Lepisosteus oculatus: one gene and its partner. The protein of the gene in region 1 purifies or fractionates together with the protein of each later gene. This does not show direct contact. Links are inferred from orthologs where the notes say so. Each region holds a gene or a part of one and is shown in the gene's direction. Other genes may lie near its edges.

Region 1 (15,499 bases):
GATTTCTTTCCACATGACTTAATTTACCAATTCACCTACAGCTGATCCCAGCTGAATTGTTCCTGGAATTTGCAAACTGATGATTTAATGATTAGGCATAAAATCTAACTGCCCTACAGTTTGAGAACCTGTGCTAGAAAAAGTGTCTCAAACATAATTTATGTACAGACTGCAAAATAAAACACAACATTTTAAAAGAAACATATAACGACACAATATTTTTGTTATTACATACCCATCTGCACAGCCTTGTGCCATGTGGCAGGCTGTGCTGATTCAATCAGCAGAGTCAATGCTGATTGGAGGGGCTGTACCTCTCTCGCTGACATCACTGCATGTCAGCAGGGGCCCAGCAAATAGCAGGAGTTGCTATTGAGCCAAGGGCTCAGTTAAGGATTCCTTATTAATTTCAAACCTATCCTGGGAACACATAGCCAATTGCAATAGCTTTCCTGGGGGAGGGGGTTAAAAATTAAAATACCTATACTTGACCTCTGTCAGTGAAACAGTTACTTGCCATGGTTCAAACAAGCTCTTGAAGACTCCGCCCCCACAGTGATGCATGCTGCTGCAGGATTGGGCACAGGGGAGCAGAGCCGGATTTTTATTGGACGATGCAATGTTTAAGAGTGAGTTTGCAGAGGGGATGAAAAACTTCCTGAGTCTATTACCTTTACACCTGGGGACACAGAGGAGGGGGTGAGACACACACTCCATAGTGCTTCTTAACTACCCACTGCTTGTAGGGGGCATTAAGGTGGATCTGATCTACCCCAGAGATTTTGCTACTTTGCTGTTCATCAGATAAGTTGACAAAGTTAGCTCGAGTTGGAAGTGCAACACAAGTAATACGCTTGGGCAGATTGAAACAGTAAGATTGAAAAGGTGTTGGAATAGTGTGAACCCCAAGCAGTAAGGACACGAGCCTGGTGCGGTGTACTCCAGGTTTGGAGCGCGTAAGAACACTGGGAAAATCACGTTGCCGGCCTGAGAGACGAGATCAGACTGGAGGATGTTATTGAGAGTTGAGGGACCACAAGTGTTATTTAATAGATGAGTCCTGAAGCCTTGTGTTATCACAGATACTGTAGTGCAGACTCTGCCCCAGTCTGCCACAGCCGTTGTGCATCGGAGCTGCAGTCAATACGTTACACTGGCTCAGAGCTCCCCCTGCTGGTCGGATTGGATTTCACTCCGGTGTTGGGGAGGAAAATGGAAATTCAGATTGTTCAGATCTAACCGCCTGTTTCTTAGTTTAACCATTTAAATTCTAGCTCCACCGTCGGTATAGTAGTCACAAAATCTGTGGGACGTGAGAGCAGTTCCAGTTTCAGCCCACAGTCCACCTGTTGCGTACTCTGATGCTCGTCTGCCTCGTTCTCGGCTGATTTGACTCCTCAGTGCCTGACGGGAGAGCCAGCGGTGACGTCATGAGGAAGACCCCGGAGCCGAGGCACGAGCAACGCTGAACACAGATCCAGCTGGTGAGCTCAATCGCCCAGGCTGAACAAATAGCATGAAATACCATCTTTTTTAGCTTGTTATACAGGAGGGAACATGGCAGACAGCCCTATGTGCGATACGAAAGACTTCTGGAAGCCTAGACTTCAGGGTCAAGTAGTTCGTTTTTTAATTATTCAAACTTCCTTTATCTCGTTTCTTTGTTTAAGAATTAAGCTAATGTAGAGAAACGCTTGTTTTTTTTTTAAAAAAAAACTTTTTATTCTTCTGGAATTGTGATGAAAGAAAAAAGAACTTTAAAATAAAAATAACTTTAAGCAAACATACTCCAGGCTGCAGATTGCTCTTTGCTTTACAATCACCTACATCGCCTGTCTGAGCCCTGCACCGGAACACAAAAGAAATGCAAATCAGAGTGGCAGGGAGAAATTTAAATGACGACCCCCCTCCCCAATGCACCCAATGCAAAATACAACATTTGGGTAACCAGGCTGTAGAGGAGCAGAGCCGAGTCTGCTCGCGCGGAGCGGAGATTTCCATTTCAATGGGGAGCGGCACGCGCCGGCCCGGGCGTTCTGCAGGGCAGGTGCGCTCGCTCTGCCCTTGAGAGCATCTCCCTCCCCCGTCTCGTCTACAACAATCACTCGCTGATCATCCCCCCCCTCCTCTCTCGCTGCCGTTGCTCGGAGTAAATATTGTGTCATTTGCTTAACTGTCGTTCCCTTCCCCGGGCATTGTTTCCGCGCGTTGCCATCAATTCTTTTCATGCTGCGCTCAAGCTGCAGGGTCTGCGTTGTCAAGCGGCTCATTACACGTTGACGGACGCCGCCCCACGCCCCACGCATGCTTGGTGCGCTGTTTGCCGCTGGGGGGCGACAGTGAGACGGGCGCGTCTGCCTTTCTCCCGCATGCCCGTGGTCCGGCATGAGAGAGAAGACGGGGACGATCTAACGAGTTCGGGTGATGACCGGTCTGGGGCACTGGAGAAGCAGGCCTTGGTGTGCTTGAAAATCCAGCAATGCTTTAATCCAGCCACAGGATCGAGGGCCCAAGCATCGCATTGGATAAAGCTGTTGAGAAAATGAATGGAGGGGTTAATACTGATAAAACATGAAAGCAGAGCTGCTCATAAACAGTACTAAGTGTAATCAAGAGTAGTTTCACTGCCTGAGCATGCTGATTTTAATCTCCGCTAAAACTCGGGGGTGAAACATTTCCTTTTGTGTCTGGGGAACCCCTGGACAGTCCCTGTGGTCTGTAGCTCTGCTTGCGGTTTCTGTGGAGGAGCATCTTCATCCTGACTAGGCCCTCTTGCGAACAGACAGTCCCAGGTCTGCCCCAGGGAGACAGGCCGCCCGCCTGCGCACCTACATTAACAACGCTGGTCTCTGACGCGCCCAGAAATGAATGCTGGGACACAAGGATGACCACCTGAATCGCAGTCGGTCTGTGTGGTTACATTTCAGGCAACAGATCTGATTAAGGCCAGTTCTGAAACCCAGAAACTGGTACAGGAGTGATACAAATTAAAAATCCCACTAGTAACTGGCTTGAGCAAAACCCAGAAGAGACAACTGTTCCCCAGAACCAGGGCTGGTAACCACTGTCCCCTTCCCCTCCTCCGCCTACTACTGAACATAAAGTAGTTCTTGTAACTTTCTTGACAGTATCTTGGGGGCTACAGTGTGTGGTTAAAGAACTCACCTCCGGTTGCACCTTGTTTTACACCAAATGCATCCATCTCTGTAATTCTTAAAAGTCCCCAGTCCCCAGTAATTCGGTTTGCAGTGAAACGCAGAAGTTCTGTTTTCTTGCAGTATTTCTGGGAACTCACCTGATCAGCTTCTGGCTTCCCGACTCCGTCTGTTGCGTACATGTGTGTTTGTCTCCCCCTGGTGGGAATACGCCACATTACCACTGATATTACAGTATTACAGCATGTCACTTTCAGATTAATTCAATTCAACTTTATTGTCATTAAACTTACACAGGTGCATAGTATAATGAAAAGTGTTTCTCATTAGTCACTCAGGTGCAGTATATAAATAGGACAGAAGATAAGACAATAGACAGTTACACAATAGCAATAACAGTAACGTAATAACATAAAATAAATAACATGTAATCAAGTAATCAAAAGTATCGATTAAATCGAACTGATTTCAAGTTAAACTTCAAAATTAGCAATACTTCCCCTTTTGGAAGCTATAAATATAAATGCATAATCATTTCAAAATGTGATGTGTATATATATATATCAAGATTAATGCATTCCAAATTTGAGCTATGTATGTGCACCTTAATTCAACACGTTATCTAAATATTTTTCTGTTCGACACCCCTTAGTAATGAGGCCGCTGACATCTGGGAGTTTTAGATAACAGTAAATATTCCGAAAACCCTTTTTCTTTCAACCTTTTAAATTCTGCATAAAATCTGGTACCACAGATGTATTTATTTCGGTATGTATGCTAACCCCTGAGGCCCTCAGATTTTACAAAGGATAACAATAATGAATTAATCTTATTTGAAATATACTATTTGTATTGTGTATGTATTGTGATTGTGCCACAATGAAGTATTATTCTACTTACGTTTATGACAACGCTGCTTTAAGAATCAAACATTCAGATCTGTTTTGACTAGTAAATCTGTATAACACTGAAACGTAATTCTTAGAATTACACATTTAAAAATCAAAGTATTTCCGCGTATCACGGTGTTCACAGCACCGTAGCACCAATCCAAACCAACAGCAATGTCATTTTCAAACAATTTTGTCCCTCCAGGTGGCGTCCTGTACAAACTTTTAATAGAAGAGAAATTGTGGAATTCCCGCGTGGTAACAAAGTTGTAATCGTAATCAGATTTTTTTTTTAAAATCAATGACGGTGAATATTTAATGCTGTAAGTCGGACATTCACATTTTTAAACTTTTTAAGACGCACTGTCGTCGGCCTGTGTTCCTTTTTGAGGAGGTGTCTGCCAGAACAATTTCAAGGACTGTGAAAAGCGCAGACTTTAAATCGAGAGCACTGTTAAAATTGTATTAAGAAACTGGTTTCTAGTAGCTCATCGATCCAAGGATCCCATCCAGCCCTTTCTTTCAGGGCACAGGCTACAACAACACTGCGGGGTGTTTTGTTCCATACACCCACAACCCTTTGTGCAAAGAAACGCCTGGTGGTCTCAGTTTTGAGCCCTCTGGTTCCTGTTTCACGGCTGATCCCGAAGAAGCCCACTGGGGTCGCCTTTGTCAGTGCCTTGGAGGATTTGGTGAGGTCTCTTCATAGTCTTCCCTATTCCAGACTAAGGAGGTTCACCCTCTCCGGCCTGTCAGAGTGGAGCCTGCGGGTGCTGAGGTTGCCTCTGGGCCTTTGGCTCAGCTCCTTTGGTTTCTGTTGCTCATCAGCTGCTGGGCCCTTCTGCTCGGGGGCTACCTGCGCTCCTCTTACGCAGAAACTCATTTGCAGTCATCAGCCACTATTCTTGAATTCAAAAGAGACTGAATTTAAACAGATCTCTTTTTTAGAAAATAGCTGCGATGTTTTTGGAATGGCTGCATTGTTTCAGACGTGGGCTGGCCTTATGGGTAAAACCCACACTCTTCTGTGGCTGGCTGGGGTTCGAGTTCCCCTGAGGACAGCGAAGGGGTACACGCAGCTGACACGGCGCTCGGCTGTCTGTGCTCACTGCCCTTCACACAGGAATGTCTGCTTCCAGGATCACTGTGCTTCGGCAGGCAGGGCGGCCGAGCTGTGGTGAATCTAATGGTCGCTGAGTTACTCATGCACGGCCAGCAGACGAACAGACGTTTTAAGCCTTTCGGTTAAGGCAGGGAATGCTAAACAAGGGCCACATACTACACCAAGCACTCCGTCACCTCTCAGGAGGACCCCTTGTCGGCTATTCACCACCACTAGGCCATTTTTCATTCTTCACCGCACCCCACATTGACTCCCCCCTGTGTTCAATTACCTGTCCACCCGTCCATCCTGGGACACCAGCCCATCCCCGGACACACGCAGAGGGGACAAGAGAGATGGATTGTGGGGAAAAAAACTGGAGCACCTGGAGAAAACCCACATGGCACCAGGCAGAACATGCAAACTCCTCACAGAAGGCACCCCTGTGCTGGATTCGAACCTGAAACATGGATCTGTGAGGCAGTAGCACAATGCACCACAACACCACGCTGTCCTACAGGACAAATTGGCCTCCCCAGTCCTCAAGTCGGGAACAAAATCTCGGGCTTAATACTACTAGTATTTTAATGTTGTCCTTTGTTAGTTTACATTGTTCGCCTTATTATCAAAACTTGCCGTTTGTCCGTCGTGTCGGGGGCTCGTGTCTTTGTCCTCATTTGCCCGTTCCCCCTTGCTCTCTGCCCGTCTCTCTTCTGACCCACTTGGAAAATCGGCGTATGTGCAGCTACATATCTGACCCGTGAGAAATGGAATGTTCCACTTTCCGTCTCTGAAAGCTAAATAAAGACCTTGACAAATGCTGAATCCGTGGAATGCAGAATTGCGGTGGGGGTGCTGGTTCAGCCAACCACCCTCCCCGAGCTGCTTGTTGTCTGAGAATGCTGAGTTACCGGCGGACTGGTTTATGACACAGGCTGTGGAATGTGAGGGGATATTAACTCCGAAACACAGGATGGACACACATGACACAGCACGGACACAGCTGAGTCACAGGACTCGCAGTCGAGTGACGCACTGCTGATCGGTCACTGGGGTGTTGAGGTGAAATCTCAAGGCCCGCTGTGCTGCTATAATGAGGTCAGAGGCAGAGCCTCACTCACGAGCTCTGCTCTAGCTGGGAAGCAGGATAGGGTAACAATGCAAACAGCCCTCATTGTCTGAAACATCTGCAATGGCAAATGCCCGTTTTCCCCTGCAAAATTGCTTCTCTCTGTTTATATTTTAGCAAAATGATTCCCCTGTCTCTGGATCAGAGTAGCTCTAGTTTGTAGTTCTTAGCACACAAAATATGCAAAACTGGAAAACATTATTTTACAGACTTAAAGTAAAACTATTGCAAGGTTTATTTATCGTTATTGGATCAAAGAGAAATATTTGTTTATTTCCAATGAAACTGCATCCAATGGTCTACTGATCACATGGTATTTACACAACAAATTAAATGGTTTGTCCCAACTTCCATGTCTTTCTCCCTGCAATGTTTGCATTTTATTAAAATGTTTTCAGCATTTTATTCTTTAAAACTGTGTATGATTATCATGTAGACACAGTGGAATTAAAAATATATTCATGCATTTTCAATACATGTACAGTGGCTATACACTGTGCAGAGATCAGTAGATATGTGTCTAGCAATGCATATATTATTCTATGTAGGTACATATAGTATCTTGCTCTAATGCCTTGCTATTTCTGCAGTGTAAAGGAGGGGTCCCACTATAGCTGTAGTAGTTGGTGAGTATAACATAACATGGCTTTATCAGCCCTATACAATTCCTTTTACAAGTCTTTTAGGAATTAGTCTTCATACTCCAGGTTGCTCTCCATGAGACACAGACAGGGAGAGAAGCTGGGGGTCAGAGCGCAGGGTCAGCCATTATACAGAGCCCCTGGAGCAGTTGGGGTGAAGGGCCTTGCTCAGGGGCCAAACAGAGTAGGATTCCTCTGCCAGCTGCGGGATTTGAACCGGCAACCTTCCAGCCACAGGCGCAGGTCCTGAGCCGCAGAGCCACCACTCCGCCCAGCTGTCCATACGGAGTACGTACCAGTTGCACAATTTGTAGGGGTGTGTGTGTGAGGACAGCCCATTGACAAAGGACTGGTGCCTCCAGTCCTCAAGGCTGGTCTCTGTGGGCGAACAGCTCTTCCCAAAGGTTACTGGGGGGTCATCACCTCACCATGTCCTACCGCCCATCTGCGCTGCCCAGGATATCCTGCCGGCACAGGAAAAACAAAAAAAAAACAGCCTTTCTACCTTTGAGGCAGGAATTACACATGATTTAAAAACTAATGGCATTGAAGAAAAACCTGTGAGAAAGGATATTAGGAAAAGACCAAGAGTGAACAGCGTTGTCATCTGATTTTCTGTGGATATGCGTCCTGGTTACTTGTTGTCGGAGAACAGGATGAGCACAGATATATGACGATGGCTATTCAGAATAATTAGGCCAAGGAGCTGTAAGAGCCTAAATAACATTGGAAATAATTTTGTACTTTTCCCTGTGTGGTAAACATGAACTAATGAAATAGCTGTACCTTACAAACACTGTTAAATAACTGTAAAATCTACCTGGTGTAGAAAAAAAAGGCTTTAGGTCAATAATCTAAAATAATGAGGAATTATGAATGGATTGCTGCCATGAGAATTGAGTTTACTTTTATTGATTATACTGTAGGCGTCCGGTGTGCCTCCAGTCCAAATGCATAAAGTCATCGATAGCAGTTAAGAATATCATAGGTTATAAAATCAAGAAAATGGCAACTAATCAGTGTGATGTTAGTTATTAGTTAGTTATTATTAATAAGAGGGGTCACTCCTAGGTCCCACGTAGCCAGCCTGGAAGGACAGACTCAATAACAAAGACTCAGAGGCTATTTATCAGAAATCATCAGCAACACAGTTATTTATCTTTTTTTTCCTCCAGGAAAAAATAAGGGATATTTACTGTCTTCATGTGAGCTGCGTAACTATAGAGAAAAGCTATTAACGTTTGAGGAACCTCTAAAATAATCTCTTAATCTTTTCTCATACCAGTTTTCACTTTCAGGATGTCTGCTTGTTTTCTTGTGTTGGGTTTTATTTGCTTTAAACGACTGGCCAGTTAACCACGCTATATCTTTAAAGTGACGTCTTATTTGTTTGATACAGGACCTTGACGGTAAAGTACACATGATAAGGTTATCTGCAGATAAAACGTATTTTACTGCAGTGCTGAGGCAACATTGCAGCTGCCGACCCCAGGAATTATAACATGGGCAAGCAGGGGTTGAGATCGCCTGCCGGAGTACAGTCTCGTTTTGAATTCAGTGTGAGGGCTACTTGAGACATTTTAATCTGCAAGTATACCAGGTCTGTTACCACGTTTCGCTTCGGGTTTCGTTTCGAACCGCAGCTTCCTTCAGCACCACTAAGTATTTCAGCTAACAGTAGATCCCACGCCATCAACACCTTTGGGAGCTGCGTATCCCCCTTGCTCAGACCTCAAGTCACGGTGCTTGCTCCAATTCGGTGGGAAAGGTGTGTATTTTCATTGCAAAAGGAGACGGTTGGCACAATGCAGAAACAAGACAGCGGAACAAAACCGGACAAACTTATTGAACAGTACAGTATAGAACAGCAAACGTATAGGAACGTATAGGAAGGCTAGCTGGGGCAGAATGCCTTCAGTACGCTGCGTTTTTGGCATGTCCACATAACACTGCTCCAAGCAGCTTGTTACTGCAGAAGCTAATAAAGGAGCCAAACACAGGGCCACCTCTGTAAATGCGTGTTTGTTCCCTTCCAGCGTACGAGCCGTGCGGTGTCTTCCAAGGGTGAAGTCCGTGCCAGCTCTCTTCCCGGCGGTTGTCAATCAGCACATGACGTCACCCGGCTCGGTAGCGTTTCCGGTGTGGATGGGTGGGCGGGGCGCTGTGGTCCCGGCCTGGATTCACAGAGAGAGAGAGGGAGGGCTGGGAAGAGGCTTCAGCCATATTCTACACACTGCCGCTACCGGGCAAGTTGGAGCCGTTCAAAGGAAGATAAATATCGTGATCTTCAGAGGCCGGAAGGGGAGACCTAGAATTCATCCGCTTGCAAAGATGTATTCCGTTTTACGGTCATGGGGATATCATAGTTTGCATTCTTAAAGCACTGCGGATGGAAGGCGTGTGTTAGCTGAGCCTCGCTCGACGGGAAAAAAAACAACCTGAGACATCCCCTCACCCCCCCCCCGCCCCTTCCGAGTGGAAAGTAGAGATTTGTTCAGGATTAGATCAAATGGGACAAGCTGGGCCCGGAATCCGAACGTAGAAGGACATGGTGGCGACGGGAGCAGCCCAGGCCGGGGGAGAAGACCGCAGAATCCCGTTTTAACAAAATGTCGGGTTTATTCTAGCTGAGGGAGTCTGGGAATCGGCAGTGCACCTCGGCCAGATAAATCCTCTGCTTTTCGCTTGCAGAGGAGGCGGCAGCAGGGTCATCCCCATCCCCCGGCGCGCTTCCCGGTGGAAATTTGTCGGGGGGGGTGCCCGATTTTCTTGGAAAGGAGCGGAGGAGAGAGAAGGAGAAGGAGGAGGTGGGGAGGGAGAGAGGGGGGTTGCGCAGGCTGTTATACCACCGCGGCGTTAGAAAATGTCAGCGAAGGTGAGGCTGAAGAAGTTGGAGCAGCTGCTCCTGGACGGGCATCAGAAGAACGACAGCGCCCTGAGCGTGGAGACCCTGCTGGACCTGCTGATCTGCCTGCACAACGAGTGCAGCAGCTCGCCCCTGCGCCGCGAGAAGAACGTGTCCGAGTTTCTGGAATGGGGTGAGTACGAGCCGGGCGCTCCGGGCCGGCGTTCCCGAACTCTCCGGGCCGGCGTTCCCGAACGCTCGTTCCGCGGAACCATTCTGTCTGCCGGGACCCACAGCGCTGGTGACAGCAGCCGGGCCTGGCTGTGATTTACACGGGCTCTGTCTCTCTCTCTCTGTGTCTGTCTCTCTTCTTCGGGTCGCCGAAGGGCCCTGGCTCCCGGCTCCCCCACCCGAAAAAACAACGAAAAAGCCTGAATGGTGGTGGCCTCGATCGTTTTTGGGCCGGGCCGGGTCGGGCGTGCTCGCTCGCTGGCGGGGTTGGAGCCGAGCAGGAAACTTGCTCCGTTGTTAGGGGTGCTGCGATGCGCAGAAAGGCGACGTCCGGAGCAGCTTGCGCGGTGACACAACGTGCAGGGAAAACTGGGCTTTTTTTTTTCTTCTTCTTCTTCTTCTTCTTCTTCTTCAACGGCGACCTTGATTGAGACGTTGAAAGCTGGACCCGTTACAGTGAGGGAGAGCGTGTGTGTGTGTGGGGAGGGGGTTACGTCCGGACAAAGCGAGCACTTTTAAGTTTTGCGATATACAAATATTAAGCCTCCGCGTTAGGGTCACCAGTGAATGTCACCACCACCACCTCCGGCGGTCTTGTCCGTGCGGAAGCGCCTTGTGCCTTACTCGGGGTTTACTCCCAGCGTGCGAACCGCGCCGGCCTGTGCTCTGAAGTTAAAGCGCCCCAGCCGGTCTTCAGTCAGGGGGGCGTTTTATCTGTGCGCCTCTGGGTTACAAAGCAACAGACTTCGGTACAGCCGGCAGCTTTCTGAAGCCCCCAGGTGTGGAGTTAAGTACTTCGTGGCATTGGGCATGCCTCTCTTTCTCTGCAAGGGTACTGACAAAAGCAGACACTCCACCACCGGTAGGTGGGTGGCTGGAGAACGTTTTGGTCTTCGTTGTTTTAAGACGGGGGTCAGTACGTCACGACCCGTCTTGAATCAGGGCCTTCGGATTCCCTGATGTTTTGCGAAGGGTTTCGGGTTTAAGAAGCCAGGTGAGAAGGTTTGCCGAGGTGTACACAAGGAAAACTCCACACCTACCATACACTCGCATGTGTGATAGTAGATGATGTTCTCTGGATGAGAGCTTGGGTCGCTGGCAGACTTAAGCGCCGGGAGACTGTGGAGGTAGGCAGGCGACTTGTGCTGGTTCGACAGACGCTTGGGATCACTGGCCAAGCTGTCCGGTCGCTGTCCGTGCAGGCGCCCTGCGCCGGCACCTGGGTGCTGTTCCGTCTCCGGCGCTGGCTCCCGGCCGGCCCCGGGATCCACATCAGCGCACTAAGAGGATTGGCTTCCTGGAGCGCCGTGCTGACGTCAGCGATGGGATTACACACCGTCGGATCTGCTCCCCCAGCTCCGCGGCCCGGTGCTTCCCGGCCCCCGCGGGAGCTGTCTGCCGGAGCGGGAAAGGAGGGAGAGGACACAGGTGCAGCCTGGGCCGGCCAGGGCTCCTGCAGGCCTTCTGTTAACGGGCAATGAACCAGCGGATGGCAGTTTCCATTTTCATCATCATCATCATCATTGTCGTTCTTATTACTAATCTGGCAGGAGGACGAGCCCAGGTACGCTTGGATCCGCTCAGATCCCGGGAAGCGGACCACGCAGCGCTTGCGTCCCGCTGCTGGGAGAGAGAACTGCCCTCCCAGCCGCGCGTTCCAGGTCCCGGATCACTAGTGCGGCCCTGCAACGCGAGCACAGGCGTGGGCGTCTCTCGGAGCTACAGGGGCACCGCGGAGTTCTCACCCACAGTGCAGTGCGGAGGAGGCGCTGTGCTGCGGTTCAGTAGTGTCGTAACCGTCTCCTGTAACGGCAAGGCGTGTTAAGGTTCCCCTTAACACCAGAGCGACGGAGCGATGCGGAGGGGAGATGCGGCCTTTGGCCCTGGCCCGCTCGTCCAGATGGCTCTATTGATCCAGGGCTTGTCCGTCAGTGGAAACAGTTGCTCAGCGGGTGGCTACGTTGTCTCCCCGGAATTCTGTTCCGTACCCTCGCCCGTCCCCGTGTGGAGGGCAGGAGCGCCTGATCTGCCCCGCGGCGTTCTCGTGGGCCAGAGGGCGCAGTGGTGCCCTGGGGTCCAGCAGTAGAAATCGCAGCCCTGCGGGGCTGACAGGTATTTGGCTGGGCTGCTGTGGTGTTCCCAGCGCCGCACGCTGCCGGGACATTAATAGCAGGGTCTTATCAGCTGTGTGTCTGAGCTGCGTGCAGCCCTTAAAGCGCCCTTGATAGCAGTCAAGTGTCCAGTTGTGACCAATCTGAGCCCAGTTACCATCGGAGTCCAGCCGGAGTGTCGTCTTATAACTCACTGAGCTCACAGTGGGGTCCGTAATTCGGCTGTAGTGTCACTAGCAAGAGCTTTGGTCCTGGTAGCCTTGGCTTTTGATGTGATGAATCGGCATAATTTTCGGCAGATTCACCAGGGTCTTTCGTCCCCTGGTTGTCCTGGACACTGCTGTAAATGAGCACATTTAATATATGGACCTAGTTTTCTGTACTTATGTGTGCCATGTGGATTTAGAAGAGTATAGCCTTGCCTAAGAATTGTGCACTGTTCAACTCGGGCTCGGAACTAAATAGGTCTGTGCTCTCCTGTTTTTCTGATGCAGTCTAAACCCAGGTTTTCTGGACAGTCGGACAATCGGCAGCACTCAGCTAAGTGCTGAACTGAAGAAAGAATATGAGATTCATTTTCCGTATAATGACGATATTCCCTGCATTTGTGCTTATTTTAATATTTTATTTTTCATTAGGCATTGTGCGACTCTATTAAAATTGTATTTGGAATGAGAGTGTAAAAGCTGTGCGTTAGACCTAGCAGACTCCATTTTAGAATTTAATTTCCATTCTTCCAACATTTCTTTTTTTTTTTCCTTGACAAATGAGAGCGTTCATGCGTTACAATTTCAGGCAGCATCATGGGTGAATCGTAAGCCCTGCTTTCCAGGCCGAATTAGACTCCGAATCTGCACGGATGAGTTTTGAGCAGATTAAACCCGGTGAGATATAGCTTTATCCCTGCATTAACAGCCACTGTTGACCTTCTGTGTTCACTACTGTTTGCCTGTGCTTTAATGAAACCAAGTTAATACGCCCTGTTAAGTGAATAAAATAAGCAGGTTAATGCTTTGCTTGCTTGCCTTCTAAAGATGTCCGTGGAGGCTGTGAGGAGGGCTTGCTGTGCTGTCCACAGTGCCAAGAGGAACAGGAGAGCGTTACCTGTGTCCGATAGAAATGTGCATAAGCAAGGTTATACATGAGAGGAGGCCCTTCGGCTCAGTGGGCAGTAAGGAGTTTATTGGAACAAGTAAAGGGTTATTCCATGCTGAGAAGAGAAGCAGCTCAACGTTTCGGCTGTGGAAACGTCCTCAGGTGTGCGAGCCGAAGAAGGCCCACGGCCTAAATGTGCTTCTTGTCTTCTCTTTCCAGCGTGGAATAACCCTTTACGTGTTCCTCGGCAGTCTAGGCCTGCTGACGCAGCGCCCTTGCCCGAACAACTGGTCGCTTATCGATCCAGTGATCTCACCCAGCCACATCTTAAAGGAACTCCCACAGCTTGTCCCACACTCCCGCACTCCCTGTGGATAAAGAAGCGCCTCCCGTCCTCAGTTTTCAACACACCTCCGCGTAGTTTCCACCTGTGCTTGGCTCCCCCCCCGCCGGGGCGTGTTGAGGTGTGCGGGGCCGAGACGGTGTTGGTGCCCCCAGGGGTGCGGAGGTGGAGCGGCGCTGGGAGGGACGAGGAGGCTGGGAGTCTCCTGAGGAAGAGCGGAGAGGAGGTCAGGGAGGGAGGCAGGGAGGCACACCTGCTGCAGGACCGGGTGGTTTTCTGTCAGGCTCAGCTGTTGGAGCAGACCTTACGAAAACACGGAAACCGAACAAGGAAAAGGGTTAAAAAACCCCAACAAATCGCTAGACAGAAGTTCACACCACCTCGGGGTTCTCACAACCTTATTTCCAGTTGCGCTACTCCTTCCCTTCTTTTCAGACAGGTGACAGAGGGGGGAGGGTTGTCTCGCGTATGAAGTGCTCGGCTCCAGCAGTGCTTGGGAAAGATTCCCAATGCCGCTTGTAGTGGCATTTATTTTTGGGGGGGGGTGGGGTGGATCGATTTCCCAATGTCCGAATGCGAACGTGACTGAAGATGAGCTGAGACGCGCAGAACCAGAAGAGGGCGGACATCCGGTTGGACCATCGCTGCCCTCGGCTGTGCAGCGGGCAAAACTCAGTTGGAGGTATTCGAGAGATGGTTTGAAACCGAAATCTGATTGCTCCCTTATCCTGCAAGGACCGGAGTTTTTGTAATTGAGCAGATTAGGGTCTTAATTGATTAACTTAACAGTGGTTGCCGATCGTCGGACGCGGGTGGCTTATATGATTAACATGTAGCTCTCCAGGACTGGGGTTGGGGTAGGAAGTGCTCTTTTGCCCACTTAATCTCCCCATCATGTTTCTAGCAGTACTTTATTTTAAACCAATCCTATTTTATGGCCCTTCTTCCTCAGGACTAAGTAAATCCATCACTCGTTCCTTGTGCATGTAGCGTCTTGTCCTCCCTCCACTTTAGCAGATTAGTGGTAGGAGTGTGATGCAAATGATACATGATGCATGTCCACACTTGGTGTAGAAAGAAGAACATGGAGTCGCATTTGTAAAGTAATGGGCAATTTGTTCAGGGTGGGAAAATAGGAGATTCGTCTTTGCGCAATAAAAAGTTGTTTCTCTAGAACTGGCTTCAAGTATTCAACACAAGTATTTCATTTCAGACCCTGCGAGACCAATGTTGCAGCTTTTTTTTTTGTAGCAACGTTGAGCTTCCAAGCATTGTACAGGGTTTGCAAGTCGTGTCAGTTGATTTATGCAGCCAGAGGTAAGAAACATGTGAGGAAGAAGGACAGCTGGTGCTTTATCATAGATACAGAACTGAAGAGCCAAAGTTTGAGTAGACTTTCCAGCACATTGAGCCCCTTTAATTACCAAGACTAATGTTTAACACTCCCCCAGATATGTGTACGTATATATGTATTTAGCCAGATGCAATGTCAGTGCTGTCAAGAGTGTTGTGGAAAACCTTTCCAGTTGTAGCGTTTCAGCTGCAGTGTTGCTGTCATGTGGAGGATTTTACTGGCAGCTCTGTTCTGTCTTGGGTGGGGAGTGGGAGACGAACTGGACGGTTCTTGTCTGACCGGCTGAAAAAGGACCTTCCAGCGTTGCATTTGAAGTGTTCCGTTGCCAAACCCGGAGCGCCGCTCTGGCCGAGCTTGCGTGGGGGGCTCGAGAGGACTGGGAAGTGGAAGGGAGAGGCTGTGGGCCCGAACAGCTGTTCCCAGGTAGGGCCGCGCGCCCGTCGCCATCTTTAATAAATAAGACATAAACAAGAACGCGCAGTCGATGTGGAAAGGTTTAATTAAGAAAAATAATGTTCTTGGCTGCCTTCAGCATTCTTGCTACTGAAACGAGGAGGTCTGGCAGCCTCGACCGCATTCTTGAAGAATTTATTTCCACGCGCA
Region 2 (15,283 bases), on another chromosome or scaffold:
CCAAATTAATTAACAAAAATTAGGGATCATTTTCATAAAGACAGCTCTCAAATGAATCTCAGATGGGATTCAAGAGATTAAACATATATATCTTAAAATGTATTAATACACTACTTACGCATAAATGTATCGCTTTTATTTCTCATAATTGTCCAGCCTTCCTTGGCTTCTGCTAAAATAGGCTGAATCCTGCTATTATACTTGTAGTAGTAGCGCTCAGGAATGCTTTCTCTCTTGTACACAGTCATGTTAGGGTGTGCTTTTTCTAAAGCTGTGTACACTTCTTCAAATCTGCCTGAATATACACAAAAACACACGTTATCAAGGAATCACAAACAACCATATAATTTCTTTTGAAAAAGCTTAAGGTCAATATTTTCCAGCATCAAGTAATTTCTCCATGAAATTTGAACAACTGTTTTATTTGAATTCATATGGAACATTTAAGTTAATTAAGTTAAGTCAATACACGGAACAACAGATACCACCAGAATGACATGACTAATGTGACTGACCTATAACTAGACCTACAGTAGCTGCAGACTCTAAAAATATTACATTTTAACTACACTAAGAAGAGATAATTAATAAGCAAAGCTGAACAATCCAAACAATAAAACCCAATATGAAATAATAATACGAAAACAATAAAACCCGGAAACAACGTAGGGTCTTACCTTCCTTAGGCAAAATGCCAACCACGGGAGATTTGTCAATCCATGTATAAAGGTCTCTATCTACATAATTATCCAGCTCGATAACCCTGTCCAATGACATCTGTGACATCCCATGATCACTCGTGACGACAAGATTCAGTTCGTCATATAAACCACTCTTTTTCAGCTGATCTAGCAGGTATCCCAGGTTGGAATCAATTTGAGATATAACATCATTCATTTCAGGGTTTTCAGGACCCAACCGATGGCCACTCTCATCTGGTTCCTCCCAGTACAACAGGCCAAAGTTGATGGGCTCGGTGCTCATGAACCAGCTGATCAGCTGTTGTACTCTCACTTCAAAGTGGGTAGACTCATTGTAGAGCATGTAGTGAGTGGGATATTTCCCATGGATCTTCACATCAGAACCTGGCCACATAGCAGCACCACTTCTGTGTCCTCCCTCTTGGTTGCTGACCCAAATTGGAATAGCTTCATCCCACCAGATGGAGTCATAAATATCCATTCTGTCCATGGAGAAAGTTCGGTTGATGTCAGGGTCATACATTTCGTTAGCCACTATACCATGGCTTTCAGCGTGAAGGCCAGTCACGAGGGTGTAATGGTCAGGGTAGGTCTTTGTGATGTAGGCATTGTAGACGCGCTCCACCTGCACACCGCTCTTAATCAGCGAGTCGAAGTTGGGTGTTGAAACCCTGTCAAGGTAGTCCCAACGGAATCCGTCGAAAGATACCAACAGGAGTTTATTTAACTTGTCTTGGCTCAGAAACACACCAGGCAGTGAAAGCAGACCTAGAAATGTCCACAAGCACCAGCTGATCTCCAAGCTGTAGTAAGGCATTGTAATAATGGGGCTGTTTTGTTTCTGGAGGAAGGATGGAAGAGGTAAAAAGGAAGGTTAAATATGTTGAATTAAATGTTGCACTACGATATTGCATGTTCACAAAGTGAGCATATGCCACAGACGTGAGAAACGGATCATCTGCTTTGCATGTAACCGCATATCAGATTTGCGCCAAGTACCCTACACACCTTATTATATTTACTATCGGGAAGTTCCAAAAGCTGACCTTTCGTGGATTCAATAAATGCATTCTACGTAATAAGACAAAATGCAGTAGAATTATTTTAAAAGATTACCTCATGCGAAAAACACTGCAAAAGTAGCAGTCCTCCGGCGGATGTCATCCGATAGAGATCATTGTTTCAATTTTGAAGCCACCAAATATTAAGAATTAGAATGGCTTTTATATTGCGTCTTAACGTTTACAGCACTTCCGTCTTTTGCAGTTTAAAAATAACCATTCAAAAACGTTTCAGATACAGCGCAATAGGCTATACATCACACTGACTTCAGTGCGATATAGAACATCAGTCAACATTTAAAATTACACCTCACGCCATCTGAGATTTAAGAAACACAAGGTTAAGAAAACGGCCATAATACGTAGTCTTTAATTTACACGATCACTTTATCCACCGATGGACAGAAGTTGCACATACTGTACACTGTAGAGCAATTGTTGATTGATCATTCTTTATTATTTTGTTACCCCAGAATTGCAACAATTAAATATACAGTGCAATGTAGCAGAATACTCAAAAGAAGCGTGTGGAGCGATAGCACTCTCCCCAATAATAATTCATAAACCTATAATCTCTCACCTTATGGGCCAAGATCAATTCCACCAAAACAGACAGACCTCTCGCACACAGGAAGTCCCGCCCTTGTTTTGGGGATAGGTTAGCTAGAAAGATCTACTGAACTGTCAATCAGAAAGAGACGGCACAGAGGATGCTTGGATCACTTTTTGAAACAAGTGCAGCAAGTGACGCTGGGTAATGAAGTGAGGTTTTTCCCAAATATTACTAAAATCATCGCGGAGTAAATCTAAAGACGGTGGTGGGGGTTTGAAGAACGTACTTTTCAAGTTGTTGAAATAGAACCCAGTTTTAAAACAAAAAAAACTTTAATGAGCTTGTATATATTCAGTCAAAGCTCCCGTTGTTTCTTTCAAACCACAATCTATTCTCTTTATAGCTATCAAACAGACATTCTAGTAAAGAAGTAGTTCAGGCTGGTAGCTGCGTCACCATGCGTAGGCTGCAAAGAAAATAGTAATAGGTTTATTCCATGCTGAAAAGAGAAGAAAGAAAACGTTTTGGCTATGGAGTCTTCTTCGGGTGTAAGAAAGATAGGGCATTCAGTCTCTGCTGACCCATTGCTTGCCCCTTTCTAGTAAACATGTTATCGCTCCTAGAAATCGATCATTTACTAACAAAGCGGATACTCGCAACATGACCGCTTTTTAACTCCAAACTCCAAACTCCAAACTCCAAACTCCAAACTCCAAACTCCAAACTCCAAACTCCAAACTCCAAACTCCAAACTCCAAACTCCAAACTCCAAACTCCAAACTCCAAACTCCAAACTCCAAACTCCAAACTCCAAACTCCAAACTCCAAACTCCAAACTCCAAACTCCAAACTCCAAACTCCAAACTCCAAACTCCAAACTCCAAACTCCAAACTCCAAACTCCAAACTCCAAACTCCAAACTCCAAACTCCAAACTCCAAACTCCAAACTCCAAACACTTGCTCCTTTCCACCTCTGTCTCTATACTCGATATACTAACGAAAGCAAAGACATACACAAACAGCTGATTTTATTCTGAAATAATCAGACTCACTACAGTTAAACACAGGTGTGGGATAATTAGCTTTTTGTGGGATTTGGAAGGTGATTGGTTACACCACAGCTAATTTACAATTGTTTTATTATGGGGTGTGTACACTTACTGTATCTACCCCATTCTCAAATAAATAAATTCTACTTAAATGTGTCTTCATTTAAAACTGTTAGATCACAAAATGTGTAACTTTGTAAATGTTGTATACTCTATATACTGTATGTCTGTGTTCTATTTTTTAAAAGAACCATCTCTAAACCAGTTCTTAAAGTATCATAGTTAATTTTCCTGGAACATATCCAATAACAAACTTCTGGTCAGCTTTTGTATACAACCTAGACTTTAGATTTTTTTAGATACTGTATAAAGGAGAAAACCAACACCTTCTATGAATGTAGTTGCACTAGCTCCAGGCCTTGAGGTTGCAGAGATTTTACTGTAGTAATTGTTTGGACTAATTAGTATTATTTAGTTTTAATTAGTAGGCAACTATTAGTCAGTTTTAAATGGCTAAAAGCTGGCCATGGAAAGACATCAATATTGTTTTCTTATAGTTTTGCCACTGTGGTGACCCTTTGGGTTCCAGGATGTTACTTGTCTCTTGCAAAGCTGATTTCATAGTTTATCTAAACTAGTCTATTATTCTGAGGAAAGAGAAAATGATAAGGATGAAGCAAATGTTTCCAAGTAGCTACACAAGCATTGAGACTTTAGTTTTGACTTGAGGCTTTGTACTAACATGTATCTTACTGTTCTTAAAGAAACATTAACTCCTGTATTTGAAGCAAAGTAATTTTCAAGATTTCTTCTGAATCTCTACTATCTCAAAGAAAAGAATATGTGGAATGTTACATTAGTTTTTGAATGTTTCTTTCTTCCTTGACCTCTTCAGTTGTCAAGTGTGTCAGTTTCTGGGACGGGTTTGAAATACGAACCTCCATTAGAGTCTTTTAACATTAAATTAAATCAATGAAATTTTACTGCAATTTCTCAATAAGAGTAGTCTTAATACGCTTAAACTGTTATTTTTCTGTGCTCTTGTTCTGTGAAATTTTCTTCCCATATGCCATTGTGTTCACCACATATTTAGAAATCTATAGTGGTATCAGTGCCTAGACTAATCCAGGCTTCGGGGTGGTATAGCACTAGCACAATATAACAATATATCAATATAACACCATATTAGGTAACATTTCACAAAAAAATGTTGATACCCACTCTTTCCTTTGCTTGCATAATTATTGCCGGTACTTTTACAAACTCACATTTCTGAACAACCACAAATGCAATGCAGTCTTATAATGCAGGACCTAATGCAGACACCCATGCAGAAGTATGACATTTGCACCATGGATAGAAAATATGCACAATTACACTGTGACAATAAATAGTAATAATTCTTTTAATATAACGCCCTGCATACAGAATATCACTTTGTGAATCTGGGATTGAATTGAACCAATTTTGATTTTTTCCACCAGAGGTCAGTCACTCCCTTTCTTCAGTGTATGATCTGAACCACCCTCAGAAAGATCTTCTGTAAATCCCAGCGCATGTCACTACAGTAATAGATTTGATGGAGTAAAAGTCAAGTCATTTTATATACTGACACCATCTAGATCACAACAAAGTGGTCAATGTTAAAAACAATGTTGGATATTGATCATTATAATATTCATATATCTGTTTTACTATATTTTGAACATTATGTTTTCTGTGTTTATCATACTGTATATGTTAATTTTATTTTATTTTATTTTTACATTGTATCTTTACAAAACAAAATCAACAAAGTACCAGATAGTACAAAGTGTAGTACTAAGAAACCTATTTCAATGTCTTCTGTGCCAAAGTAAAATGTAATTTATGAACATAACACTACTGTAGAGTAATAAATGTTTTTTAAATAGATGTATGATGTCATCGATGTTGTGGTACTTTCATCACACCCCTACCCTTGGAATTGAAAAGCTTGATCTTACTTTGAAGTACCTCCAAAACACATTTTTATTTCCTTTTAGTCATTATTAGTCTCTTAGGCTTTTACCACCTTCAGATCTCACCTATGCTGCATTTTTTACCATAGCAATCAAGTATTCTCATTGAACTGACCTCTTCATTTTAAACCCAATGCAATTATACACAGATGATCCATCATAGTTTACAAAATAGCTAAAATTAAGATTTCTTCCACTGTTCAAATACACTACTGGATTACTATTTTCCAGGAGACTCTTCTTTAAGAGTAAACTTTAGAGAATCAAAAGTTCATAAAGTTCATCATAATGATCACAAAATCCCTAGGGTTTTTTTATGTTAACTACACCATCCAAACTTGAGGTTTTAACCAGTTGCAATATTTGGTTTATAAAGCAGCTTGAGAGGTCGTGACAGGTCGCCTGACTGAGTTGTATGAACATAACCAAAACATATAGCTTGATTAAAAGGGCTGGGTTTACGTAGAACGGGGTTTTTAAAAAGAAGCCTTAATCTCTGAATTCAAGCAGGGGAAGAGGCAACAGCAGACTCACTCTTTGAGCGCAGCTTTGCACTAAGAACCTGAACCCGTGACAAGCTTGCTCTTGTCACCATGAAGTGTGTTTTGGAATGTAATCAAATACATGATTAAAAATGCTGGAGCTTAACAATTTCAGGCTTTAGGTTGAAAATCAAAACTCTGACTCAATTTTAAGAACAGTTTAAGAAGTAGATCATATGATTAGTTTTTCTGTAGTTGGAGAATTCATGGCATATTTAAGGCTAGATGGAAGGAAGTGGACATCAATTGAAGTAAATATATCCACTGACCAACTTTGACCTTCCTTGAACAACGTGTTGATATGTCAGACCCTTGAAGCCCCAGACTCTTGTATTTTAGAGGCATTTCACACTCCTTTCATGTATGATGGAGCCTTGCACAAAGCCAGTTAGCACTGCTGCATCACAGCTCTTTGTCCTATTTTCTGGCCTATCGTGCCTTCTCTGTGGAGTTTATATCTTCTCTCTTTGTCCGCACAGGTTTTCCTCCCTCTTGCTAGAGATATTCTGGGTCAGCTGTCTTTAAATTGTAACTGTGTGTAAGCATCCTGTGATAGACTGGCAAGCTATCCTTAGTACTTAGTATAATCTCGCCTTGTGCTCCATTCTTCCTGGATAGACTCCAGATTTCTTCAAACATTATCAGGAATAAGTGGCCTTCTGATAATGGATAGATGGATGAGACAGAATGCACAGAGTGTGCTACAGTATGTATTAAAACAAGACAGGGTCATTACCTTACCTATATTTTGATACTACAAATTATAATGCTGAGCTACCCAGAACTTCTTCTGGTTCTTACTGTAACACCTTTCACTGATTACTGTAGTATTGGAAGTTTGTACAGTAATTCCTTGTATAAAACTAAAAGATAATCCAGATTGTTTCCTTTGAATTAGAGCGGTAGTGCATTACAGAACAAAACAATTAATACAAGTATTTTCAATAACGTTTAAATTAGATGTTTTTTTTTATTGTAGAAGGTGTGCTTATATGATTATGGGTGATGTCAACAAGTACAATTTAAATTTCATTTTATGCATTACAGATTTCCAGATTGAGATGCAGTTCTTCGTGTTGCTGTTTTATGATCCCATCTGTACCTGATTTTCATGGAAATGTTGGATATATCAAATAATGCAGCTATTCTGGGAACAGAAGCTGTTCACATATTATCTCTAATGTCCATTTTAACTAGATCTACTCTTCAGTGAACCATAGCTCTTAGTACACTGTAGAGCACATTTGAAGAACAATGATAGTCTGGGCCTGTTTGCTTTCTTAAGAAAAAGACAAGGTGTTATGGTGGAATCATTACCCTTGTGGAATGAGTTTTTGTAGTGTACCTAAAATACAGGGTGGTTTTCAATCACTAGACAATGTCTACAATATTGTAATAATTTAATAAGTTCTGAAATTCATTCCCTGTTTCGTACCATGTTTGAACACACAATTACAATCCACAAGTGGTCAATTAAATTATGCAATAAAACTCGTAGTATGAAGAATGAACACCAATAAGAATCGTGTTCAATGCTGCTATATTAAATCTCTGTAGTATACATTTGCATGCTAAATTTTTCATGCACCCTGTGGATAGAAATCGTACAGTGTCATATCACGTAGGACTAGTGCCACAACAGTCCAACAGTTCTTCACTAAATATACCAAACCTCTAAGATCAAAGGTTTCAAGCAAAAGAAAACAGATGCTGCATTCTATTCTGGTGTAGCAGATTTGATACCCATCTATACATATTTCTAACTGCTTCTTCCAGTTCAGGGTCAGGGTCGTGGAAGAGCTGGAGCTATCCTGGCAATCAACAGGCGCAAGGCAGGGGACACCCTGAAATGGGATGCCAGTCCACCGCAGGGCATACTGACACCGAGGACCAATTTTCCCAGAAGCCAATTAACCCACCTGTATGGGTTTTTTTTTTTGGACAGTGGGAGGAAACCCATGCAAACAAACAAACACCAACAGAGACAGCAACCTGGGTCCAGTACTGGACCTACAGTCCCAGCACTGTGAGACAGCAATAGTAACCACTGTCCCACTGTGCTGCCCACCACCTTTAAGATATGTACTGTAATTAAAGTGTATAAATAATATAAATTCATTCATAATTCAATTTTGAAAGCTTGTAATGATCAGATAAAAAAAATGTTCTATAAATGTCAGGCCAGGCACCTCAAATACAGCATGTCTGCGTTCATCACTACAGGGCTTCATTTAAACACACTTAAGTAACCCTTAAGTATCAGCATATGCAATAGACTTGACTCAGCTTTGCTAAATAATACAGTTGAATGATTTCAGAGTAAAGACAGAAACTTTCCGATGTTTTAGACTTAGCATTCCTGGTCAGTGATGTAACCTGTCTTCCTTTAATTATCTGCTTTATAAAATTACATAATATGCAATGATGGAAAAAGAGACTAAGGATAAAAAAGATGTTTCCCTGAGAATAACAGTCTCTTTATTTTGTTTTATAACTGTGATTTCTGAATATTCCTTGGTTTATATTCTTATACTCATAAGTTTCTTGCTGGGTTAAATTAAAACCAAGTTCAACTGGCAAGAAAGAGCTGTATTATGTTTTATAGGAGGACTTTGGAAGTCATACAATATCAGTTGCTTGGTCTTTATCTCTTAGCTCATAGTTGAACAATTCATTTTACTCAGTTTATTAAGGTAAGTGTTTACCAGAGTGTAAGCTTGTGGTGAGATCTGTAAAGCCTAAGGAACTGTAGCCACCAGGATCACGGCTTCCCACCGCTATATCAGCTGTGGCCATTTACTACCTTGCAACAGGCAGCAATTACAAAAAAGAGGTGCGGTAGGAGTGTGAGAGTAGTGAATTACTCAGTCTTTAATAATACCACACTAGTTAGTTTGAAAGAGAACCACTTATCTCGAAGTAGCCCTTCTAAATTTAAATATAATTTTAATATTTCGTGTAAATATCTGGGGAAAGCTAAATTGTGGTTAACTACCCATCAGAATTTCCATTCGTTGATAAACATGGACGGCTTTAGGACACAGTAGATGCTGTATGATGCTGCACCGTTGATTTACGATTGGCGAATGCATCCAGGGAGCAACAGCAGATTGCAGCAAGTCACAGGAGTGAAAAGGGACCTGTCCGGGATTGCTAAACTGTCTCTAGGCAACCAAAACCTTACGCAAAGTCCCCCTCCCATGCTTCTCAAGATTCAAAAAGCAAAAATGAATGAATAAAGAAGGGTGCCGATTGGTGGGATCCGCATTTTTCGAGCTACAATAATTAGCGAGTGTTTTATTTCTCCAACAGCGATTCTTCAAAGATATTGCAGTGGACAAGCAGATGGAATCAGATATGCATCACCTTTCTCGCAGATGAGACAGGTGAGTCTGCGCAGTTTTTTTCTGATTCCCCAAGGTGGCAAGCTTAGGACCGGAGAAGCCTACAGCCGCTAGGCATCAGCTTTCGAAAGCAAGAATTTCAGATAGGTCTAGCAATGCTTGATAAAATAGTGGTAGTACTGTACATGCAACATCAATTACCGCTTTACAGCAGTAATTCTCACGCTTACCACAACCTGTGCAACAAATAATGTATTTTTCTGACTAGTCTAACTGTACGGTGGAAGTAACTTGAAAGGAGACACTAGTGCATTTTGCGCAACAATCGTGTTAAATTCTAAAGTGCTGCATCTTCGTTCGAATTACATTTCAGATATTCAGGCTGCATAGTAAAAATTAAAGAAGGATAATTTTAAATTACCTTTTTCTGTCTTAATATGGTTCTGGTGTTCGTGTTACCTGACCATTGGTAAACCAGTTTATATACAAACATTTTAAACAATGTAATGTATTTAGGTAAAAAAACCCTGTGATTTCATGTTATTGGAAAGGCAGATTCTTTGCACAATTTATTAATAAAACCATTTTCTTCACTTATTGTTAATTATTCCTTAGGACATTATAATTATTAGGGGTATACGTTACTGTCGTTTAGCTTTATTGGCGTTGATTTGCTTTTAATCGTACATAGCTGTGTATCTATTGTTTATTTTATTAAACCTAATGTTCTCAGCTGTGACCTTATGAAAGGTGTTCATGATGGTTTCACGTGACTTGCACGTTAACAACGGATTAGGATGCTTGGCTTATTCCAGTTGTTTCAAGCCGATAATATCATTGGTGCTCTGTGCAAATTGCCAGTGTCTTAAACACATTAGATTCGTAGTTAACTCTCAGTGATGAACGCTTAAGTGATACACTGTCGCACAATATTGTTGTTTGGTGTGCAGACAGCACGAGATTGACGTGCCTCGCATCTGTTAGTCACCCTTAGCTTATTATTACATGTAACTTCATTTCATAAGCAATACAACTTTCATTTGACTTCCTAGGTTAAGTCACGCTACACTGCAATCCAATAGTTTCTAATTACAAGAAAGTATAACTCTTAAACAGTTAACACGGACTATTTTATGTTTGAATGCTAATTCAGTTACAGTAAATGTGAAGATGATTTATCTCTCACGCTCTAATGTCTAGTATTCTTCAAAAACATGTGTTTCCTCTTTTGCTGATGTACTGTAGTAGGATATTCCATGAGACTGAAAGCTCTTAATGTAGTTTACCTGGTCTAAATGCCTGATACTTTCATGTTTCATGAATGGGTTTGAAAGCCCACAAATGTTTGGACTTGTTGAAAGTGAAAATTGTTACAAAATAAGGATTTGTAGACCTTGTAGGCTTGTTTTTTTTATAAGTAATGTAAAACTTAAAATTCAAGATCCTGCAGATCTGTGCTGGAAATTAAAAAGGAGAGTAATATTAACAGTAATGTTTTTTTTTTCCTACAGGAAAGTGAGGAAAAATCACTTCTCATCAATAGTTTAAGAGTTTTAAGATGATTGTTGTTCACTTGAGCACTTTATTATGTGACTGCATACTAAATTGACCAATTTACCAATTCAATTTTTTGAATTGTTTCGAGTTTTGGAACTGCTGGGTATTAATTTACCTCCAAAATCCATCACTTGAAAAATTCCCCTATTTGAATAATAAAAAAAATCAAATGTACTTTCAGTCTCTAAAACAAATTAATACCTTAGTTCAGAAAACTGGATTGAAAACTGCAGACACTGGGGTGAGAACTAAGACTGGGAAACCTTGTTTTATGAACATGGCAGGGGGGGTCTGTCCAATCTTAGACCTGTGTGAAAAGTTACAGACATTAATTATTGACATAATTGAACCAATTTATCAACTTATCCATGATATTCAGTTGCTGGTGAGAACTACTGAGACTTACTGTACCATGTGAAATCTGTACACATACCACCCCTACAGGACCAAAACTGAGGACTCCTGTTTTAGGGCATTAATTGACTGCCAACTGGAAGCTTTTAGATTAGTGGACAAGGCTGCGATCTGTTGTTGTGAACTTGTTGTGGTGTAACAGTTTATACCCTCAAACTTTTTGTGTAAATTTCCACATTACTACAATGCCTTAGTCTTGAACACCATTGCATTTGGCAGGAGTTTTCAACCTTTTTATAATGGTGTATCAGTTCTGTCCCAAAGCGTCAGATCAAGTAACTCCTTTATACTGTAGATCCTACTGAACGGATTAATTCTGGCAGTTTAACAAGCGAATATCTTAAATATATTTGAATGTCACTTTGGATCTGAAGCTATCAAGTAACTCCCCATTGTCCATTATAAGACAGGCATACCTAAAAGAAGCTAAATTAGTTCTTAAGACATTTTTTTAAAAGTCTCTGATAGTTTATAGTCTGCAAAGTTATTTATTCAGTGTGCACTGTATAATTTATCATAGCATTTGCTTCTCTCTTTACTAGGTAACATCAAAAACTGTTTTAACAACGAAACCTTGCTCACATCAACATACTGTAAATACATGTCCTAGGAGTCTACCAATTTCTTTCTTCAAATTTAGCTAATTCTACAATTTTAGATTCGTCGTTAGTGTGCTACTCCGTCTTGCTTTTTTGATCCCAGGACCAGACAATGAGTTTCTTGGTGATTCCTAGTAATAATTTGCAGTTGTATTAGTAATAACGGGGCGACGATGATGGCCGAGACTCAGTTAAGAGCAAATGCTCTAAGGTTTCCTTGGAGGTTAGCCTGGTTTCTCACCTGTGACACGTTTCTATCAGGCTCGAGTTCATTGACCCTTTGCGAATTGCAGTGCAGTCTGTTAGTTCTGCGTACTCTATTTGGTTGGACATGTGGATGTCTTTAATAAAAAATGGCTTATTTAATGTATTTTAATTTAATGTTTTAGTTTTGTAGTGCTGTTTCGGAAATGTTTCGGGAACCTTACATGAAAGCGCTACTTTTTAAAACTTTCTTGCGTTTTTTTGCTACTGTAGATCACATTACTTTCCAAAAATGTCTACGCTAGTTTCTATAGTCACGAGTTTTACTCATCATGAGACGATTCACATAAGAGGATTTTCAGGGAGTGTTTATTAAGCCCACTGTCAAGTCAAAGAATGCACGATTCTTACTTAAGTTTTGATTATCTTTCACTGAATCTACTTCTCTTTCCTGTTTTGTGTTAGCTCACAATTGTTTTGCAAGAGCCATAAAATGTATTTGACTGAAATTAAAGATACACGGTCTGGAGCTGGTTTAAGAGGGTGACCTGGATCAGTATGGATGAATGAAAGCTCACCGAAAAGAAGTCAGGCATGCTTATAAAGTACATTTTGTGATAAGTTAAATTCATTTTGTAATTAAGAGCACAGTGATGAAGGAATACAATTAAAACATTATAAATGGTAGCCTGTGTAAACACCCAATTGAAAATCTCTTAAATACTGTATTGTAAACACTTGTTTCACAAGGTATTAAGTATACACTACGCTAAAAAGAGAAGACCACATAGATTCAACAAAGGACTGCATTATATAAATTCCCTGCCAGTCAAAGCAGTCATGCTTCAAGTGAAATAAGACTGTTGTTCTTCTCTTAATCGGTATTTGCCCTGGCCTTTTAGGGCGTTCCACCCTCTGAAAGTATGATAACATCATGAGAAAAGAACATTCCCAATATTGCCGAAGAAAAATGACAAAGACACGGTCTTCAGTTAGGCACCCTGCTGCTCTGTCTGGAGTCTCTGCCAACTGTCTTGTGCCAGATCACATTCTTGGAATACAATGTGGATTCATGTCAAGTGGAAACTCCATCTACATTACTGAGTTTTATGATCTGAGTTGCATACAAAAAAAAATTAAATAGGTGCTCATGTGAATCTTCTGTTTAATCATAGGGCTTTGAAATGTTTATTGGAGTTGGTCACATGTCTGAATTTATAACTCCATGTTTGTAAGAACCTACGTCAGTCATTGAGCCTTTGAATCTCAAGGATCCAGTGTCTGGTTTAATGGGATTCCCAAAGTTGTGTGGTATAGTGTTGTGTATATGTAAGGTTGATTAACTTATTTTATTATCATAATCTGGCTGTTACAGTATCTGTTTACATACTACACAAGTCCACCAGTGAAGAGATTTTGCTGGATTATCAATCGGTTTCCTTCAAGGTTCTCCCACCAGTCTAGGTAAATCATGTCACATAATACATTTTCAATCAGGTTTTTGGAATCTTCAGACAATTTGCAGTAAAACATTAACTAGTCTTTTTTAGTGGTTGGAGGAATCTCTCGCCAACTGGATTTTAATACCTGTAAACTTTGATCTGATCAGTATGATTTGTTTTCCCTAAAACAAACTAGAACAATGGAGTTATGTGTAAATCTCATATAGCAGCTTTTTAAAACCTTTTTTTAATGGATGATTTTTAAAAGATTTACCGGCTACTTGCTATTTAAAGTTTAGTTAGATCTGATGGTATCTACCACATTTTATTTGAAGAAATAGATTTTAAGAATAATACCTTACAGAGATTTTGGGTCAATTCATGAGAAGCAGGATCGTACAATATAACAGAAATGCTGTCCATACCATAACTTCAGGGAAAAAACTAAACCAGACAATGACTGTACTTCACAAATGAAGCCAATAACTGTTAATATCTTGTGCAGTAGGTTTGGTCTGGTTTAATAGAAACATACATTGTTTCCACCAGTGCCTTCTGTAAAACTGAATCAGAGGGAGTGTACAATTTGAGATTGCCTTATCATCTCTTTTCATTCTATTATATATATTATATATACGTTCATTACCCAAATGGCCACCAATTTCATGTGTGAATGTTGTGGCAACCCAAAGTCCTGTGGAAGCATAACGCACAATGCAGAATTGCAGTCTGGACATGACACAATTTGCAGGACATGAGTGCACATACACATGGACTCTCTTATATACTGTATAGGTCATTGAATAAAATTATTTTAGTAGGGTATATTCTGACCTTGCAGCTCAGTGATGTGGTGTTTGTCATTGTTGCCTTGGAACACTTGGGCCCTGGGGTCATCTTGGGTTGCTATCTGTGTGGAGTTTGTCTGTTGTCCCTGTGTTCATGTGGGTTTCTTCTGAGTGCTCTGGTTTCCTCCCACAGTCCCACAAAAGTTGACTCTGTTGTAAGTGTGTCTGTGTGTGCCCTGTGATGGACTGGCATCCCATCCAGGTGTATCCTGCCTTGCGCCTTTTGCTTGCTGGGATGGGCTTTGCCTCCTTTGTGACCCTGAGTTGAATAAGTGGCTAGAAAATGGATGGATATTTTGACAAGTGCAGTTCTTGGAGAACCATAAGATCTCTTGGAAGTTGGTATTGGATTGTGCTTCTCTGTGAATTTTTGGGAAGGCTTTACAAGGATTCATATGTTTATTCTGTACCACAGGGGTCAGCTTTTAAGACTTCAGTACTGCTGGGGCATTTTCTTGACATCTCTTTGGTGCTTTTTTTTCATTTGCTCTCTTTAAAGGATGTTACATAATTCAGGGTTATTTCCTGATCCTTAGTTTGTTGCAATTTACAAATGCATAAAAGGACACTACAAAATGGTAAAACTTTGTGAGTAAAGTGTCAGACATGAAACAAACCATTTTCTTGATTCCTCTTAATAGTGATTCTACAAAAAAGTAACTATGTACAATACATAATTATACAACCATTAATCAGCTCTATGTCTAACTATGAATGTAGCCACATACTGTAATATGGTTGTATTGACACTTGATCTTGGTTATGTTTTTCATTATTTTGTAAGTAATGACTGCGCTTGAAAACACATGAGCTCTGAGTTAGGTGCAGTCTGTAGTGAAGTTTTTCCCATTGATACTAAATCAAGGTCCCTTTAAAACTGAGCATCTTAGCTTTTATTGCTTATTTGTGGGGGCGTCAAGAAATATTGAATAAGATTGGTGTTTGTAATAACCATTATTTGGGAATTA

The links.
Region 2: the proteins of cdc42bpb (region 1) and protein FAM167A purify together in Homo sapiens (co-immunoprecipitation; 3 studies listed by BioGRID and IntAct, counting the BioPlex papers as one, with this or other methods). This does not show direct contact. The link is inferred for Lepisosteus oculatus from reciprocal best matches to the Homo sapiens genes CDC42BPB and FAM167A.

The regions. Positions count from the first base shown.
Region 1 is NC_090703.1:6,634,932-6,650,430, reverse strand, and holds the start of cdc42bpb (serine/threonine-protein kinase MRCK beta), read left to right. Parts: upstream 1-9,085; 5' UTR 9,086-9,780; coding exon 9,781-9,955; intron 9,956-15,499. UniProt on the Homo sapiens protein: Serine/threonine-protein kinase which is an important downstream effector of CDC42 and plays a role in the regulation of cytoskeleton reorganization and cell migration. Regulates actin cytoskeletal reorganization via phosphorylation of PPP1R12C and MYL9/MLC2.
Region 2 is NC_090697.1:56,587,144-56,602,426, forward strand, and holds the start of protein FAM167A, read left to right. Parts: upstream 1-8,988; 5' UTR 8,989-9,293; intron 9,294-15,283. Other genes in the region: enpp5 (ectonucleotide pyrophosphatase/phosphodiesterase family member 5), read right to left, coding at 119-295, 678-1,518.